Callithrix jacchus: one gene and its partner. The protein of the gene in region 1 interacts with the protein of each later gene in a biochemical or structural test. Links are inferred from orthologs where the notes say so. Each region holds a gene or a part of one and is shown in the gene's direction. Other genes may lie near its edges.

Evidence for each region. The genes of interacting proteins can lie anywhere in the genome.
Region 2: the proteins of TFAP2A (region 1) and CITED2 form a complex in vitro, tested with the Homo sapiens proteins (2 studies listed by BioGRID, with this or other methods). The link is inferred for Callithrix jacchus from reciprocal best matches to the Homo sapiens genes TFAP2A and CITED2.

What each region holds. Positions count from the first base shown.
Region 1 is NC_133505.1:20,025,743-20,029,948, forward strand, and holds the start of TFAP2A (transcription factor AP-2-alpha), read left to right. Parts: upstream 1-1,406; 5' UTR 1,407-1,486; coding exon 1,487-1,537; intron 1,538-4,114; exon of another isoform or gene 4,115-4,206.
Region 2 is NC_133505.1:146,159,913-146,163,856, reverse strand, and holds CITED2 (cbp/p300-interacting transactivator 2), read left to right. Parts: upstream 1-1,144; 5' UTR 1,145-1,380; intron 1,381-1,831; 5' UTR 1,832-1,839; coding exon 1,840-2,661; 3' UTR 2,662-3,524; downstream 3,525-3,944. UniProt on the Homo sapiens protein: Transcriptional coactivator of the p300/CBP-mediated transcription complex. Acts as a bridge, linking TFAP2 transcription factors and the p300/CBP transcriptional coactivator complex in order to stimulate TFAP2-mediated transcriptional activation.

The sequences.
Region 1 (4,206 bases):
TCAGCCAGGAAAATTAATTACTCTGTATTTCATAGTGTCGCATTAGGTCCTTTATTATTTCTTTTTCTTACTTTTAAAAAAAATCCCGAAAAAGAAACTGATAAAAGCCCCAGCGAAGCCAGTAGGCCCCAGTGAAAAGTCCAAAAGCCCGGACTGACCAATCTGGCCAAGGAGGTGGCTTCCCAGGCCTCCAGGTTCCGCGTCAGCCGGGCTCTGCCTGGCGAGCACGCTCGCGTTAGTAGCATCACCAAATCATGAAGGAACTCTCCTTGCTTTAATTAAAAAGGGGAATCTTGGGAAAACTGGAGCAGATTAACACAGCGAAGAGTCGGTTCCTGGTGATTTATTTTGATGCATGCATGAGACGGTATCTAGACCTGCAGGCGCACACATGTCTATTTCGGCTCAACTTCAGAAGCGGGTGTGCAGCTCCATAGGAGTTCTGTATTCGTGTCCAAGTCGCACCTAAGAAACATTAGCCTGAACACCAAGTTGGACTGTCAGTTGACCCTAGCTTCACACAAACGGGAAGAAAATTATTTAACCCCTGGAGCTGTCAAGCTACCTCTTCAGGGTACAACTTTTATTTTACATGCCGCAATTAAGGGATCGAAAACCCCAGCAGAGCCACCGGGGCCGCTTGGCAGAATCTCCAACCTGGGGGAAAGCTCAAAGCCAATAAAACTCCCAGGGCGCTGCGGCCCGAGGGGATGGCTGCTGCGAGCGGAGGCGATCCCTAGTTGGGCAAAAATCCTGGAGTGACTTCGCCGGTCTTGGTTTGGTGGTTACGTTTAATTGCGAAAGGGATAATGATTTCTAATAAAATTGCACGGGGCCAAAAGGGCAGCTCGGATCGTGGTAGCAGGGTTAAAGGAGAAGTGCAAAAAGCCGGGCCCCAGGCGTGGCGGCTCGGACCTGGAGCTGTGCCGGGCTTTGCACAGGGCATCTCTAGAGAAAAGGAAGCGGAGAAAGAAAGGAAAGGGAATGGGGCGGAACTGGGGTAAGAGAGGGGGTGTTGTGGCAGGGGCGCGCGGCGGAGCTCAAGATGGTTTCATCAGTTCGCAGGCAGGAGTGAGCTCTTGAAGCAAGTTTGCGGTGTAGAGAGGCCTTTATACCTGGGTCGGAGCGGCCGGCGGCAGACTGTGGTACTGGCGAGCAATTGGACTATTGTTGATATGCTAATGAGGCGATTAGGCTGTTGGTATAGAGCTGGAAAAGGGAAAAGTTTCTACCATTAGAGGGAGATCTCCGAGCGCACACGGGAGCTCTTTCCCTTCTCTCCTCCTCCTCGCCCTTCTCCTCGCCCTCCTCCTCCTCCTCCTCTTCCTCCTCGCCCTCCTCCTCCTCCACCACCTCTTCTCCCTCCTCCTCGCCCTCCTCCTCCTCCTCCTGTGCTCACCGCCGGCAGCCAGCACTTTGCGCTTACCCAGAGAGTAGCTCCACTTGGGTGCGAGACGGAGAGGAGCAAATCCATTCAAGCCGATCCATGAAAATGCTTTGGAAATTGACGGATAATATCAAGTACGAGGACTGCGAGGTAAGCGCGAGGCCGGCTTGATCATCCATGCGGCCCCAGGCTCAGAGCTCGACCCTCCCTCTCCTCCTCCTCCTCTTTGCAACCAGCTGCGAAACGCGGGTGGGACAAACTTTCCCCAGAGCAGCGACCGCCCCTCAGATTCGTCCGAAGAACGCGGGGGAGAAGCTGGAGAGGGAGGTCGTTGATGCTCCCTTCTTTGGTTTCCCTACTTTGGAGCCCGTGTCCCACTTTCCTTCCCTTTCTGACCGATTTTGGCTGTGCGTAAGAGTGGGGTGAAGAGAAGAACATGGGCTTTTGAAGCGGTTGCTGGCAAATGGGCACGCGCCAGTGCACTCCTCGTGTTTCTTCATCGAGATTCTGAGGGCCCAAGTCACGAGGAACAGAAAGAGAAAACTCTTTTCTCTCTTCAACTTCCCATCCGATGTTTAATATTCCTTCCATTCATTCATTCATTCTTTCCTTTCTTCCTCTCTTTCCCTCACCCCCCACCCCCTGTTCTAAAGCGGTACTCTTTAGAGTACCCTGGTCTGGGCTTTGGAGAAGGGCCCCCACACTTCGCTGTAAGAAGGGCTGCATCTTCCTATAAGTGGGTTCAACTTGAGAACACTCATCCCAGCTGCGAGGCTCGCTGCAGAGCCTCGGTGCTTCAAGAAGTTCTAAGTAACTTCTCCTTCTGAGCTACATCATCGACGCACCCCACGGGGGGCGTGTGGTGGGAAAGGTGCTACCCGGAATCTGCTGGCGCTGGGTGCCGGAGCGCCAGCTTCAGCAGCAGCCGAGAACGACCGTGGGAATCCTTGAGCGGCTGTGGACACCTCTGGTGCCGCGAGCCCGCTGGGCCGACAGAGCGCGCCGATTTGGAACCCATTTTAAAACCCAGAGTCCCCCGAGCTCGCCTTCTTGAGTGAGCAAGGAGGCTCTAGCGCGACCGGTCCACCCGCAGGAGGCGCTGGGAACGGTTACAACCTTCAGTGAAATGAGCAAGGAGTCCGAGAGAGGGGTTAGAGAGTGCAGGGCTGAAGATTACTTTAAAAAATAGGTGGCAGTCCCAACTTTTGCTGGTTTTACTTTTTTTTTTTTTTTTCTTTTTTGGCATTCGAGGCTGAGAATGTTAAGCAGGAGGTCTGTGTGCAGGCGCAAAGGCGGAGGTCTTGACTTCGCTCGAAACCAGAAATTGGGTTTATGTGAACGATGTGTCACCCGCTCCCTCCTCCCTTTTCTTTCTGAAGACTATTTAAAATCTTTCTCCTTTCAGGCCCCCTACCCCAGTAGATGGGGCACGGGGTGACATCCCATGGGTACTGGCCCTTCTCTGGGGGGGTCCTGTCGCGCTGGGGAGGGGTGCAGGGATCCCATGTCAGACCAGTGGCTTTGTTTTCGAGGCTGGGAGCGAGCTTTGTAGGCCGGTCGGAATGAAACTGAGTCCCTCAGTCTCACAGGACAAGTCATACAGTCCTGGTCTGGTCTTTGGCCCGAGGCTGGGGCATTTCACTTTCGCAGAGGCCGAAACCCAGCTCCAGGTGTGGGCGCCCTCGGCGGGCAGGGTCCGAACCTCCGCGCAGCTCTAGGTGCCAACTGGATGGGGTGGGTGGCTAGGTGGGGGATGAACTTGCACCCCTAGAGGGATCCTGTGGGGGCAAGTGTGAATGCGTGTGTGAGGCAAAAAAAAAAAAAAAAGAGAGAGAGAAAGGAGAGAAGGATAAAGTCAAAGCTGTTTCCACAACTTTGGTGGCGGCGGGCAAGCGCCGGAGCGGGGATTTCGGGTTTCGGAGTTGGCTTGGGGCAGTCTGATTGTGCCGGGGCGCTGTAGGGACACGCAGAAGGCGAGGTGCCGCTTGTTCTGACAACCTGGCGGGTAGACTGGCAGAGGCAGCACGCCGGGAGAGCTAGCCTTGTCATCTGGGGGGGCGTCGGGCGGGAGTGGCCCAGCCAGTCAGACGGGTTTTTGCCGGGAGCTGCGAGCCCGTGCCAGCGGCGCCCGGGCTGGGCCGCCTCGCGTCTGTGTGCGCCCGGGCCCGCATCCCGGCTCCCGGTCCAGAATCCCCGGCCCCTGAGAGCCGAGGGCAGAGCGACGGTGGCCAGGGAGCGCGCGGCGCCCCTGTCCGAGGGAAGCTCAGGAGGAGAGGGCCAGCGCCGCGAGCGGGCCGGTCCCGGGAGGGGCGCCGGGTCATGGAGGAGCCGCGCGGCAGCCGGCAGCCGAGTCCTGAGTCTCACGCTCGGCTGCGGAGCGGAGGAGCCCGCGGCCAGGGAGGGCCGGGAAACGCCTGCCGCGCCGAGAGCCCCACGAGCGCCCGGACGCGGTCCCCAGCAGCTCCTGCCCGCTCTGCACGACCCCCGCTACATCCCGAGGTCTGCCCCAGCCTTTTAGGTCTGATTGTCCTCGCTCGCTTCCTCTCCCCTTCCCCCTCCCCCGCGGCCTCCCCCTCCTTGCGCACGGGCTGGGCCCCCTCCCTCCCTCCCTCCCTTCCTCCCTCCCTCCCTCCCTTCCTCCCTCCCTCTTTCCCTCCCTTCCTCCTCTCGGGCTCTCCCTCCTTCCCTCCCTCCCCTCTCCCCACTCCGGGCTCCTCTCCCTCGCCCACACTTTCTTTCTCACACATGCACGCAGACACATTCTCCCTCTCTGCGCTCTCTCCTTCGGTCTCCCTCTCTGCCTCTTTCTCTTTCACTTT
Region 2 (3,944 bases), about 130 Mb from region 1:
TGCCATACGGGACTTGCAGCTACGTGCCCACCTCCAGAACGACTTTATTTACAAAGTGATTACCATGTTATCTATTTGTTTTCCTTTTCCAGCAACAGCAGCCTTACTCAGCCCTCGAATTTCTTAATTACAAACCCGTTTGCTTCTAAATCAACCCCAAACCGTCAAGCAGAGCCCAGAGGGAAGCTGTGCAAGTTTGCACACACCCCCACCTCCCGGATCCAGGGCAACAGCAGAAGCAAGTAACTGTGTATGTGCAAAAAGGTGGATCTGGGGACGAGGATCGCTGAGTTTGTTTACAGAGCAGAGACGCCTCAGCTCGGATGCCAAAGCTACCAAAGCAGCAAACGCAAACTTAGCAGAAGCACACGTACCCCGGGAGCGGCGGGCGGGCCCAAAAGCGCGGGCTGGAGTTCCAGGGTGCGGGATCTGGGGTGGCCGGGCCCGCGAGCGCGCTCGGTCCACCTGCAGCCGCAGCCGCTGCCGCTCCCCGCCCCCAGCTCCTGTCCTTGAAAGGAGTGGAGGAAAAAAAGGCATCTACATGCAGTGATCTAGAGTAGGTCTACCCACTGCCCTTATGAAAACACAAAGGCACAGTCCAGGAAAGCGCGCTCAAGAAAGGGCGCATTATTTGTCCGGGTCTTTAAAACCCAACTACGAGGACGCACAGCCATTCTTCGCAGCCTGGGAAAGCTTTGGCAAAGCCGGCGAGGCAGAAGGGCACTCCGGAGGGCGGGGGCGCTGGGCGAGTCCCCTTTTCCCGTAGAGGGCCAGACAGATCGCTAGGTGAGCGGAGTGGGAGAGCTGGGGGTGGGGAGATCCGGCCAGAGGCGGGCGGTGAGCTCTCCTCGTTCCACTCCGGGCAGGCGCTACCTTCGGGCGGGGCGGCCGGGGAGGATTTCCCCGCTGCCCCGGGGGTGGCTGAGCCGACCTCGCGTTTCTGGGCCGGGAAGAAACCAGAGCCAGGGGGCGACGGGCCCGCAGGCTCTGCGCACGTGCCGCGGGCAGCGGGGCCGCGGCCACCGGACCCGGTCCAGGTGTCCGTGTTGTTCCGGAATCCGCGTCTTCGCGCCGCCCGCCCTGGAGGTTCTCGCTCCGCCCTTCAAGAAATGCTATATTAACTGTGGCCAAAGCCCTAAGAAACACAGCTCATTGTTGGCAGCTGCCGGGCGCTCCTACCGAGCTGTGAGAGCAGCGGAGGGGAAATAAAAGGGAACGGCTCCGAATCTGCCCCAGCAGCCGCTGCGAGACCTCGGCGCCGACATCGCGACAGCGAAGCGCCCTGCACGCCAGGAAGGCCCCCTCTATGTGCTGCTGAGCCGGTCCTGGACCCGACGATCCCGCCCTCTGTCTTCGGAGCAGAAATCGCAAAAACGGAAGGTAAGCGCGACGGGCGAAGCTGGCTGGGGCTCCTGCCAGCCCAGTCCTCCGAGGGCAGGGTTTGCCCGGAGGAAGAGCGTGAGGCGAAGCTGGGGAATAACAACAGGATGTGCAACAACAGGATGAGGAGGGCTGATTCAATGCCTGAAGTTCGCGGCAGGGCTACGGGGCACTTCCTTTATTAGGCCACTTCGGGGAGCAGAGGGGGGTGTGGGCTAGGGTCCTCCCGCCCGATCTCAGGGGAAGGGGCTGTTTGTGTAGTGCCCGGCTGTGTTTCGAGTGGCAGGTCCTCCTTGGTGGCGAGCCCGGGTGCACAGGCTGCTAGTGGGATTTGGGGGTGTTGGTTCGCAGCCGACGTGCGCCCGGGAATCAGAGGCGGGCAACAGTGGGGTGCGCTGTGGTGGGCGACACGTGTGGCGCGGGTCTCATCGTCTGCCCTTTTCACTTCCAGGACTGGAAATGGCAGACCATATGATGGCCATGAACCACGGGCGCTTCCCCGACGGCACCAATGGGCTGCACCACCACCCTGCCCACCGCATGGGCATGGGGCAGTTCCCAAGCCCCCATCACCACCAGCAGCAGCAGCCCCAGCACGCCTTCAACGCCCTGATGGGCGAACACATACACTACGGCGCGGGCAACATGAATGCCACGAGCGGCATCAGGCACGCCATGGGACCGGGGACTGTGAACGGAGGGCACCCCCCGAGCGCACTGGCCCCCGCGGCCAGGTTTAACAACTCCCAGTTCATGGCCCCCCCGGTGGCCAGCCAGGGAGGCTCCCTGCCGGCCAGCATGCAGCTGCAGAAGCTCAACAACCAGTATTTCAACCATCACCCCTACCCCCACAACCACTACATGCCGGATTTGCACCCTGCTGCAGGCCACCAGATGAACGGGACAAACCAGCACTTCCGAGATTGCAACCCCAAGCACAGCGGCGGCAGCAGCACCCCCGGCGGCTCCGGCGGCAGCAGCACCCCCGGCGGCTCGGGCGGCAGCGCGGGCGGCGGCGCGGGCAGCAGCAACAGCGGCGGCGGCAGCGGCGGCAGCGGCAGCAGCAACATGCCCGCCTCCGTGGCCCACGTCCCTGCTGCAATGCTGCCGCCCAATGTCATAGACACTGATTTCATCGACGAGGAAGTTCTTATGTCCTTGGTGATAGAAATGGGTTTGGACCGCATCAAGGAGCTGCCCGAACTCTGGCTGGGGCAAAACGAGTTTGATTTTATGACGGACTTCGTGTGCAAACAGCAGCCCAGCAGAGTGAGCTGTTGACTCGATCGAAACCCCGGCGAAAGAAATCAAACCCCCAACTTCTTCGGTGTGAATTAAAAGAAACATTCCCTTAGACACAGTATCTCACTTTTCAGATCTTGAAAGGTTTGAGAACTTGGAAACAAAGTAAACTATAAACTTGTACAAATTGGTTTAAAAAAAAATTGCTGCCACTTTTTTTCCCTGTTTTTGTTTCGTTTTTGCAGCCTTGACATTCACCTCCCTTATGTAGTTGAAATATCTAGCTAACTTGGTCTTTTTCGTTGTTTGTTTTTACTCCTTTCCCTCACTTTCTTCAGTGCTCAACTGTTAGATATTAATCTTGGCAAACTTCTTAATCTTGTGGATTTTGTAGATGGTTTCAAATGACTGAACTGCATTCAGATTTACGAGTGAAAGGAAAAATTGCATTAGTTGGTTGCATGAACTTTGAAGGGCAGATATTACTGCACAAACTCTGCCATCTCGCTTCATTTTTTTAACTATGCATTTGAGTACAGACTAATTTTTAAAATATGCTAAACTGGAAGATTAAACAGATGTGGGCCAAACTGTTCTGGATCAGGAAAAGTCATACTGTTCACTTTCAAGTTGGCTGTCTCTCCCTCCCCCCCCATATGTACAGATGATAATAGGGTGTGGAATGTCGTCAGTGGCAAACATTTCACAGATTTTTATTTTGTTTCTGTCTTCAACATTTTTGACACTGTGCTAATAGTTATATTCAGTACATGAAAAGATACTACTGTGTTGAAAGCTTTTTAGGAAATTTTGACAGTATTTTTGTACAAAACATTTTTTTGAAAAAATACTTGTTAATTTATTCTATTTTAATTTGCCAATGTCAATAAAAAGTTAAGAAATAACTCGTTTTCTAGAAGTCATTTGGGGGGTGGTGGTTCTCTTTGGTGGCTTTTTCCCCCCCCCCAAGTTGAACACTTTATTGATGAGAGTAAGCATTCCAAAGGATAAATTACAGGACACTAAAACAGGTCATGATGAGCTTAAGCGGAGAGCAGGATTTAACATAATTGGCATAATGCTTCATTGTTATCATTGTAACATGCCTCTTGGTGTGCTTTAATCAAAAGCTGCAAAGTTGTCATAGTGCTTTTTTTTTTCTTAATTGCCATCATATTCAAGTGTACTCCAGAGTTAGAAAGGTTTGCAATACTCAACATTATCTTTTTCAATGGGCAGGAGGGAAAAATGAAGTGTTTCTGTTTATACCTGATTGAACTACTTAAATGGAGGTAGATTAGAATAATATACTGATGGATGGG